Macaca fascicularis: one gene and its partner. The protein of the gene in region 1 interacts with the protein of each later gene in a pairwise test. Links are inferred from orthologs where the notes say so. Each region holds a gene or a part of one and is shown in the gene's direction. Other genes may lie near its edges.

Region 1 (4,815 bases):
AGCTCTTGCACTGCGTCTCAGTGTGACACTGGATCCCAGTTTCCTCACCACTAAAGCCAATAGGCTATTAAAACTCCCTTAGAAGTAGCTTTAATCCCTTGACAAGACTAAAAATATTAACGCAGTGCTTGAGCCTCTGGAACGGAACCAGCACTGGAGTTCTGTTTGGTCGTCCGCTCTCTTCCCCCTCAAGATTAACGATCTGGAGGGAGTTCTGGTGAGTTCGAGTTCTCGTAACTTGGGAGGGACTAACCAGAAGCCCGGCAAGCACCCAGTAACACGATCTCTGGGTATTCCTTCAGCCTCATCGATACATCTCTTCCTACCTCGCCTTCCTCCGCTGCAGCTTCTTTCAAGTCCGCATCTGCGTCTCCGTCAGTTTCCTCTGGGATTCCATCCGTGTCGGTAGCCCCCGGGTCCCCGGACGCAGCGGCCGTCTCATCCGACTCCCCTGTCTCTCCACCTTTGTCGGAGGGCGACTCGCGGGCATCGTCCATCACGGATAGGATTGGAGGGGAGAGGAGATCGCGGCGATGTCTGAGGCAGAAGCTCGGAACCCCGAGCTGCACAGGACAGTATCTTACTTCCTGTCGTCGCGCAGCGATGACATCACCCCTACCGCTCTCCTGAGGGGTCATTTTGAGGCGCGCGTAGAGGACTAGAGGACTCATTTTAACTTTGGTTTGGCGACAGTGGGAAGCGGGAAAATTGGACGTAAAGAGCTCAGACTATGGATCCTCCTAGCTAGGAAACCAGCACTTGTGAAGGAGCGCAGTTTTGTTTACTAAATAACTTTTTCCTTTTCGCCTGTCTAAAAATTCAATACCAGTTAATCCCTTCGTTAACCCCTCAGAGTAAAGTTGGGGGATCGGGAGAAAACTCAGTTCCGTTGTATGGCGGTGTCGTGGAATGAGGCTACCCGGGATTGGTAAACTTTCAGGCAAGACTCAACCTTGTGTATTTCAACTGGCCCGAAACCGCGGGTCTGTGTGTACGTGGAATTGCTAGCATTTCCGCTCCATTCAGCAAGCACCTTAACAACAAAAAGTCATCTAGCTTGAGCAGAATTTATCCAATTCATTTATTCATCCACAACTATTGACTGCGTACTTCGATTTAGAAACAGTGCTAGTACCAGGGAACAAAACACACATAGTTTCTATCCAATTAAATGATTTTTTTTCAGTTCGCAAGTATTCAAGATTGAGGTTTGTTTCTACAAGTCTGACACTTTTCTATCATTTTGGTTAATCTTACCAAAACTAAGAGGAAAGCCTAAAGAGAGGAAGGTGTCTCCTTCGAACGTTTCACTTTAACGAACTAGTTCATGTACTGGGAGGATGAAGTGGTGAGGATATTTCTATTTTAAAATTTTCTTCTCTTCCCTCATAGAGATACGAGGGGGAGGGCGTTTTATTCACCTGGGTATGACTAGGTCCCAGCACCTATTACATATTTAATTTATGCGTGCTTAAAGAATGTCCTTGGAAATGTAGGTGCGCGTTACCATATTTATCTCTTTGTTTCTGCGCTGCCTGGACGAATTGCCGTATTTCCTGTCCCAGGAGCTCCCAAAACGTTTAGGGAAGGAGCGCACTTCGGGAGGCGCGTACAGGTGGGCCTGTTTGTCCCTTTCCACCTATATAATGGGGACCCACAAGGCGCTGTCCCCATAACCCGTGAGGCCTGTCTCGGCACAGCAAAATCCACCTGCGCTGGTCCGCGGAGCCCCGCCCAGCTAGGTGAGCTAGGGGGCGGGGCGCGGGGGCGCGGTGACGCGTGACGCCGGATCCCGGAAGTGACGCGCTCGTGGAGAAAAGGCAGGGAGGGGGGGTGGTGTCCCCAGCCGGTTTGGGGGGTGCGTTGCCCGGAGACGGAAAGTTTGGGAGCCCGAGCAGGCTCGGCTGCAGCCCCGGGGAGGGGGGTCCAGCGGGTGGCGGCCCTGGGGATGGGGAAGGAGCAGGAGCTGCTGGAGGCGGCCCGCACCGGGCACCTCCCGGCGGTGGAGAAGCTGCTGTCCGGGAAGCGGCTCTCCTCTGGCTTTGGGGGCGGCGGCGGCGGCGGCGGCGGCGGCTCTGGGGGCGGCGGCGGCGGCGGCCTCGGCTCTTCCAGCCACCCCCTCTCCAGTCTGCTCAGGTGGGTACGCGCCGGGGCCGGGCCGCTGCCTGCAGACCCCTTCTCCCCCACCCGTCTCTTGGGTCTCCAGAGAGATCGGGGGTCCTGAGACTCGGGCGGGGTGGGCTTGTGGCGTGCCCGGGGCGAGGCAGGCGGCGCACGGGCCAGGATACCGGAGGGCGCGCGGGTCCGAGTCCACGCTGCTCCGGGCTCGCCTGGTCTCCCGTTCTGAGCCGGCTGCGAAGAATGGTGGGAGTGCCCAGGTGGCAGCCTCCGCCGCATGGCACAGCCGGGCTTCACCCTCGCTCGCTACAGGGTGCCAGCTGTCGTAGCCCACAAAAGCCAATTTGGAGCAAATATGTATATCATATATATACATATGCTCTCCCTCACCTCCTGCAGAAACTCCCACGCCTTGTAGAATCTCGAGGCTCCTCTGGAGGAAATTCTATTGATTTTTTTCTCTTAGGAACTTGGAACCTTCCACCAGGCTACGCAGGACCTCGCTTTTCCCGCCCCCCCCCCCCGCCCCGCCCGAGACGGAGACTTGTTCTATCACCCAGGCTGGAGTGCAGTGGCGCGATCTCGGCTCACTGCAACCTCCACCTCCCGGGTTCAAGCGATTCTCCTGCGGCTGCCTCTCGAGTAGCTGGGATTACAGGCGCCCGCCACGACACCCGGCTAGTTTTTGTGTTTTAGTAGAGACGGGGTTTCACCATGTTGGCCAGGCTGGTGTCGAGCTCTTGATCTCACGATCCGCCCGCCTCGGCCTCCCAAAGTGCTGGGATTACAAGCGTGAGCCACCGCGCACGCCCCCTCACTTTTGTTTATATTAAAATTGCCTCTGGATTTATCATTTTCAAGATGTTCGTCTTTTAGCCTCTCTTGTGCTTGAAGTTCAAATTGTAGTTCCTTGTAGTGAACCGTATTGAATTAGTCTAAGTGGCATATGCAGGATTCATCCGGGGGTTTATTCATCTAGAAATAAAGGCAGAGACACTTGTTTAGGAAACCGAGGAATGCTGTAAACTTTTCCAAGGTCTGTTGTTAAACGCTTCAATCTGGAACTGTAAGGACCGAGGGGAAAAGATCAGTTTTGTGTGGCTTCGAAGGGGGATTGGAGGTGCTTTGTCAGTGTGAGTTAAATGTGTTGGTTCAGCAGCGCTTTCATAGCCTGATTTCTTTTTCCTTCCTTGTTCTTTTGAGGTTTTTAAGAAGTGGAAGTTCATTTAGAAATGGCTTCGTTAGCTTTTGTTCCCCATTACTTTACGTAACTTCAGTTTGAGTGAGCTTGGACCACAGAAGCCTAAGGCGCTAATAAATTGTTGTTAATAGATATTAAGCACTGAGTACCAACCCAGGTATTTACAGGAAGATTTTGAAAGCAGTATAAGTAGGTACTTAAGATTTGTTGAAGAAATAAAAGTATCAATTGGAGGACCATAAATTTCTAAGTAAATGGATGGTGGATGGTATCACTCACTGTAATTGCTAGCAGGTCAGAGAACAGACATCATTTAGGGATGGAGTGGAGGTCAGGGCTTCCGAAAGGAGGGAGACTTAAGCTGGTCTTGAAGGATGTGAGGATTTGGGTAGGTGAGTTATTATGGGCATGTTCCAGGTGGGTATCCCATGATCAGAGGCACAGAAATGAGAACGGAAACTTATTTGGTGCTCCTGAGGCAACAGAAGAACTTCCTGCCTGGACCCTTGAGAGGTTGGGCATAATAAAGGTAAATAATAATGGATGGGTATACTTCCATATATCGTGTTTATATTCTCAGTCCCTAGATCAGTGCCTGACAACTTACAGGTGTTCAATAAATGTACAGTGAATGCATGAATTGGGTTTTGGATCTCACCTGGATTTGCCACTCTGCAGTTCTGATGTCTGAAAGGCGACAAGACTGTACAGGTTTGGAGATGCCTCTGTCTTTAATGAGTTGATGACATAGCATTTGGAGATTTTCCAGAGATATCTTAACCCTCAGCATATCCTGCTAAAGTGAGAAGTTTCTCATATCTCCCACCTTCAAGTACAGGTCAAATTATTCTTTTTTTTTTCTGGAGACGGAGTCTCGCTTTGTTCACAGTCTGGAGTGCAATGGCACTATCTCAGCTCACTGCAACCTCTGCCTTCCTGGGTTCAAGCGATTCTCCTGCCTCAACCTCCCAAGTAGCTGGGACTACAGGCACGCTCCACCACACCCAGCTAATTTTTGTATTTTTTGTAGAGATGGAGTTTCACCATGTTAGCCAGGCTGATCTCAATTTCTTGACCTCGTGATCCGCCCGCCTCGGCCTCCTAAAATGCTGGGATTACAGGCATTAACCACTGTGCCCAGCCTCAGGTCAAGTTATTCTTAGCGTGCTCACTCAGAGACTGTTGAAATTCTGCTGAGGATTTAACTGCCATATAGTTAATATAGTTAAGCAATACTAGGAAACCTGTTGAGCACAATGCTTCTACTTTGGGCCTCTTGCTGATGTGTCCCGTCTCTGCCATAAAGTGTGGGTGTTAACTCTCTGTTCCCCAGAGTTAGAGAGCTGGCTCCCCTTGACTTTCTTCCATGTCTTTTGTAGAGAGGGTAAATGCCTAAGAGCTTCCCAGCCTCTCATTCCTGTGACTCCTAGGGGCAGGGAGGATCTGGAGGCACTAGTTACACTAATTAGAGGTGACTCTGATTAAAGCTAGTGAAA
Region 2 (4,732 bases), on another chromosome or scaffold:
ACGAGTCCATGCTGGACATTGGAGGTGACTGCGGAGCGGGATCCCTGAGTCCCCAGCCGGCAGGTGGCAGGAGGGGGTGCTGGAATTCAGAAACACGAAACAGGGACCGAGGGTGCCTAACAGGGTGCCTGAGGTCCAGGGCATGGATCCTGGCCCTTGACTTGGCTGATCCCTGTCCCCATTCCCCCAGGAGAGCGCGGCTGTGCCTTCTGCGGGGGCCTGGGCCATCGGATCACCGACTGCCCCAAACTCGAGGCTATGCAGACCAAGCAGGTCAGCAACATCGGCCGCAAGGACTACCTGGCCCACAGTTCCATGGACTTCTGACCCGATGGTCTTCCCTCCTCTCCAAGGGGCCTCAGTCCCCAAGATTGCCGCCAGTCTACACACACAGCAGCCCCCTGGACAGAACCAGCATCTCAGCTCGGCTGGCCTGGGCTGGGCCAGACTGGTCCTAGTTGCCTGTTCCCTGTGCTCCTCAGAATTACTATTTTTGTTTCCTTTCACCCCAGCTGCCATTAAAGCACAAACCTCTATCCCAGCCCTGGCCCTGCCTCTGTGTTTCATCTCATCCGCCCCCTGGTTCCTGGGGCAGACATCGCCTCTGACCTCTGGAGCCCCTCTGAGGCAAGGCCCCAGCGTCTCCCGCTAGCACTGCCAACACCCGGCCTGCTGGTGCTTGGGCATGGAAGGAGCCACCGAGCTGGTGCCAGCGTCTGGGGACTGAGCATCTCTCCATTGGGTTGTGTGAATTTATGACTCAAGGAGGGACCACACTGGCAGGCCAAGGAGAAGTGCTTGGATTCTCTGGTCTCCCTGGCCAGCTGTCACAGCTCTCGGGCTCACTCTTCCTGTCAGTGGTGTGATGTTTCAGGGGCTTCTCCTGAAGCCCCTTGGGGGGCTGCTGCTTGCCTGAGGCTCCCCACCCACTGCCTGCCTGCGCCAGCCACCTGTAGGAAGCCCTCTGCTCTGTTGACTGAGGAGGCAGCAGATGTCATAGAACTGCCGTTCAGGCCACAAGCTCCCCCTAAGTCTGCTCTGTGCCCAGCTCTGCTGAGCTGTGAGGATCTAGACGGGCCAGGGAGATGGCTACCTGGGAAGCTCTCAGGCGAGGGGAGAGAAAGATGCACACACAGAAATGTGGACGGCAGTCACAAGACCGCTGGCAGATGAAGCAGGATCTCGGCATCTGGCGAGAGGTAGGCAGGGAACGGCACAGGCGGCCACACTTCCTCTGAACCGGGCACTTTGTGTGTATGGCCACATGCTCATTCCAGTGGGACGGCGGTTGCTCAAGCCATATTTGTCACTTGGTGTGTGGCCTTGGGCAAGTTACTTAATTTTTCTAAGCACTGATTTCCTCACTGTTGAAATGACGATGAGAATGCAAAGGACATGGTGTCTGAGGTGGCTGGAGCTCAGGGCTGCCTGGGCACAGTGGGCACAGAGCCGGGTGCTGGGAGGCCTTTAGGAAATATTTCCTGGCCAAGTGCATGCCCAAACGGCATTCCTTAGCCTGCTTCCATGTTCTGTCCCAGAGGTGACACTGAATGACCTGAGACTGTTCCAGAATAAAGATACACACACACAGCCCCGCTACTGGTCTCCTGCTAGGCAAGCCAACAAAATGAGCCCCCAGCAGGAAGCAACGCTTTAAATGAACATGTGACCTCTCCGGGGCCCACTGGGACCTGCCACCCACACTCACGTGGTTGGGGCCATTCAGGGGTGTGGATCCCATGTGGACTGGATACCCAGCGTGAGGGCCTTTGTGCTCTGGGACAGCGTGTAGTGGTCAGGGAAGGCCTCCAAGAGGAAGAGGTGACCCACCTTCCCAGGCGGCACAGTGGTGAGGAGGCCCGGAGGGGCTGGTCTGGGGGAATGAGCCTGAGGGAGATGGAGGCCGGAACACACGGGCCCGGAGTGTCGGGCTGAGGAGCCGGGCTGCAGCCCAGGAAAGGGAAAGACAGGGGTGGTCTTGGGTTGTGGCGAGTGCTGCATGGGGCCCCAGTGGGGCTGTGTCCCCCAGGGGGATGCCAAGGCTGCCAACGTTCAGCGGCTCGTCGGGTGGAGAGGAGCAGGTGAACACGAGAGATTTCAGGGAGAAAGAGCAGCAAGATGGGGTGAGGCGCTCAAGCTGGGACGCCGAGTGGGAAAGCCAGGAGTTGGCTAGAGAAGGGTCCCGGCTGGAGGCACGGCCAGGGAGCGTCAGGCCAGGGTGCACAGCTGCCCAGGGCGGGTCGGGGGAAGGCGGGAACGCATGACGCAGGGAGCCAGCCTGCCACCAGACGCTCATGCCCAGCTGAACCAGGTGCGGGCGCAGGCTGTTTGCCTTCAGGCGGCCAGGGACTCCCTCCAGGTAGGTGTGGGCACCTTGGGCAGCCAGAACCCCAGGAAGGAAATCCACGCTGCCCCAGCCCGAGCTGAAGACAGGTTCCCCTCCCCCCGGCCTGCAGCTGCTTCTGGACGGAGGACGGGAAGTGGCCAGAAGGGGAAGTGTGAGGAGTTCCCGTCCAGCCTGTCATCAGTCTCCCCAGGTCTTGAAGCAGCGGCCCTGCTCCCTGCCGTGACCATGGACCCTGTGGAGACCCCTATCAAGGATGGCATCCTCTACCAGCAGCATGTCAAGTTTGGCAAGGTGGGGACTCCTGGCTGCCAGGCAGCTGCCAAGGACCAACAGTGGGTGGAGAATGCAGCCTCCGCCCCTGCCTCGGACAGCCCAGGCAGACCTGGGAGACTTGGGAAGGGAGTCAGGGTGAAGGATCCCACCCCAGGTATGGGGAGTGGAACAGAGCACGGGTCTCGGCCAGAGATGGCAGGGGCTGAGCAGGCTCTGCCAGACCCTGCCTCTGGGAGAGACGGGGAATACAGGAGCGGGAGAGGGTCGAAGGCTCAAACCTCCCAGCAGGGAAGAGCTTCACAGCCTCTGACCCACTGCGGGCCCTAGGGAGGGTGAGGGGCTGAGCTGGAGTCCCAAGGGTGGAGCCCCTCCCTGCAGCGGCACTGTCCTGGGAGCAGCGAGGCAGGGGGGTCACCTCTCCTCGGCAGTGGCCCCACACCCCCGCAGCTCAGCTGCAGCTGCTGCCCAGGCAGATAAACCGTCGATTTCCTTTGCTCGAAGCTATTTGCATGTTTCCTTCCTTACCAGCGTGAGGCGGAGGCCTCCCTCCCACCCCAGCCCTTGGCCTGTGGCCCAAGTGCCCCTTTTTGGGGGCAAGAGGGAGCCAACATAATGGCAGTGTCTGGTGGTCTGCCCGGCCACTGGAGGCTTTACAAACATGACCCGGTAGCAGCCCCAACTCGTGTTCTCGTGGCCTTTTGAGAGACGACACTGATGCTTGTGGAGGTCACAGTTCGGGAAGAGCGGGCTGGGATTTGAACCCAGGGCTGACCAGTCCCAAGCCCAGCCAAGGCCTCCTTCCTGGCGCCCTGAGAAACTAGGGAGCAGGGGCCTGCTCCTGGCTGGGAGCGTTTGCCAAGCAGCTTGTGCTGAACCGAGTGGCACGGAGAATCTGCCACCCAGGAGTCTCCGCTCTCCCCCGCCTCTCCCGCAGAAGTGCTGGCGGAAGGTGTGGGCTCTGCTGTATGCAGGAGGCCCATCAGGCGTGGCGCGGCTGGAGAGCTGGGAGGTCCGGGATGGTGGCCTGGGAGCAGCAGGTGACAGGTCGACAGGGCCTGGCCGGCGAGGGGAGCGACGGGTCATCCGCCTGGCTGACTGTGTGTCGGTGCTGCCGGCCGACGGTGAGAGCTGCCCCCGGGACACCGGTGCCTTCCTGCTCACCACCACCGAGCGAAGCCATCTGCTGGCCGCGCAGCACCGCCAGGCCTGGATGGGCCCCATCTGCCAGCTGGCCTTCCCGGTGAGTGCGGCGGGCAGGGGGGTGGTTGGGCTGGGGCACCTGCCCCCGACTTGTCCACCTCCATGCTCACTCACATCCCGCCACCCAGCAAGCTCCACCGAGCACCTACAATCCTGGGAAAAGTAAATCTATAATGACTCTCAGAGGGCCACGCGCGCCGTGGAGAAAATGGACCGCCAGGGGAGCAGGAGGAACTGAGGGTGCGACGGGCAGGGTGGTCAGGGAAGGCCTCTCAGAGGAGGGCCCTGAATGACAGGAGCCCACTGGGCAAAGGTCTGAGGACAGGGGCAGCCTGGGGAGTTGTGAACAGAGGCAGTCCCGTGGGCAGAGGCCCCGAGGTCGGACAGTGTGGGGTGTTTAAGGGCAGAAAGAAGGCGACATGGCTGGAAGGATAGGAGTGCAGGAGGAAGCCAAATCACGGAGCTTAGGGGAGCAGCTGAAACGCCCCAGGCCATGTGTGTGGTTCTGTTCTGAGTGTGAGGCGAAGGCTTTGGAGGGTTGTAGCCAGACACGTTTGTAAAGCCCCACAAGGTCTGTGATGGGTCAAAAGGAAGTGAGCCTGGGGGTTCTTCAAAGAGGTAAACAGAGTTACCATGTGGCCCACAGGCCCACTCCTAGGTGTGTGCCCAAGAGAACTAGAACAGGTGTTCAAACAAAACATGTGCATGTGAGGCGGCAGGATCGCGTGAGCCCCAGAGGTCGAGGCTGCAGTGAGCCATAATCGTGCCACTTCACTCCAGCCCGGGAGACAGAGCAAGACCCTATCTCAAAAAAAACCCCATAGCAGCACTACTCACGGCCACCAGAAGGTGGAAACAGCCTACATGGCCATCAGCTGACAAATGGATAAACAAAACGTGGTCTGTCCACAA

Evidence for each region.
Region 2: the proteins of ANKS1A (region 1) and DOK3 interact in a two-hybrid assay, tested with the Homo sapiens proteins (2 studies listed by BioGRID and IntAct). The link is inferred for Macaca fascicularis from reciprocal best matches to the Homo sapiens genes ANKS1A and DOK3.

The regions. Positions count from the first base shown.
Region 1 is NC_088378.1:136,802,557-136,807,371, reverse strand, and holds the start of ANKS1A (ankyrin repeat and SAM domain-containing protein 1A), read left to right. Parts: upstream 1-1,844; 5' UTR 1,845-1,948; coding exon 1,949-2,136; intron 2,137-4,815. Other genes in the region: TAF11 (transcription initiation factor TFIID subunit 11), read right to left, coding at 327-497. UniProt on the Homo sapiens protein: Regulator of different signaling pathways. Regulates EPHA8 receptor tyrosine kinase signaling to control cell migration and neurite retraction.
Region 2 is NC_088380.1:184,450,457-184,455,188, reverse strand, and holds the start of DOK3 (docking protein 3), read left to right. Parts: upstream 1-1,720; 5' UTR 1,721-2,359; intron 2,360-2,456; 5' UTR 2,457-2,572; coding exon 2,573-2,638; intron 2,639-3,554; coding exon 3,555-3,860; intron 3,861-4,732. Other genes in the region: probable ATP-dependent RNA helicase DDX41, read left to right, coding at 1-24, 191-327. UniProt on the Homo sapiens protein: DOK proteins are enzymatically inert adaptor or scaffolding proteins. They provide a docking platform for the assembly of multimolecular signaling complexes. DOK3 is a negative regulator of JNK signaling in B-cells through interaction with INPP5D/SHIP1.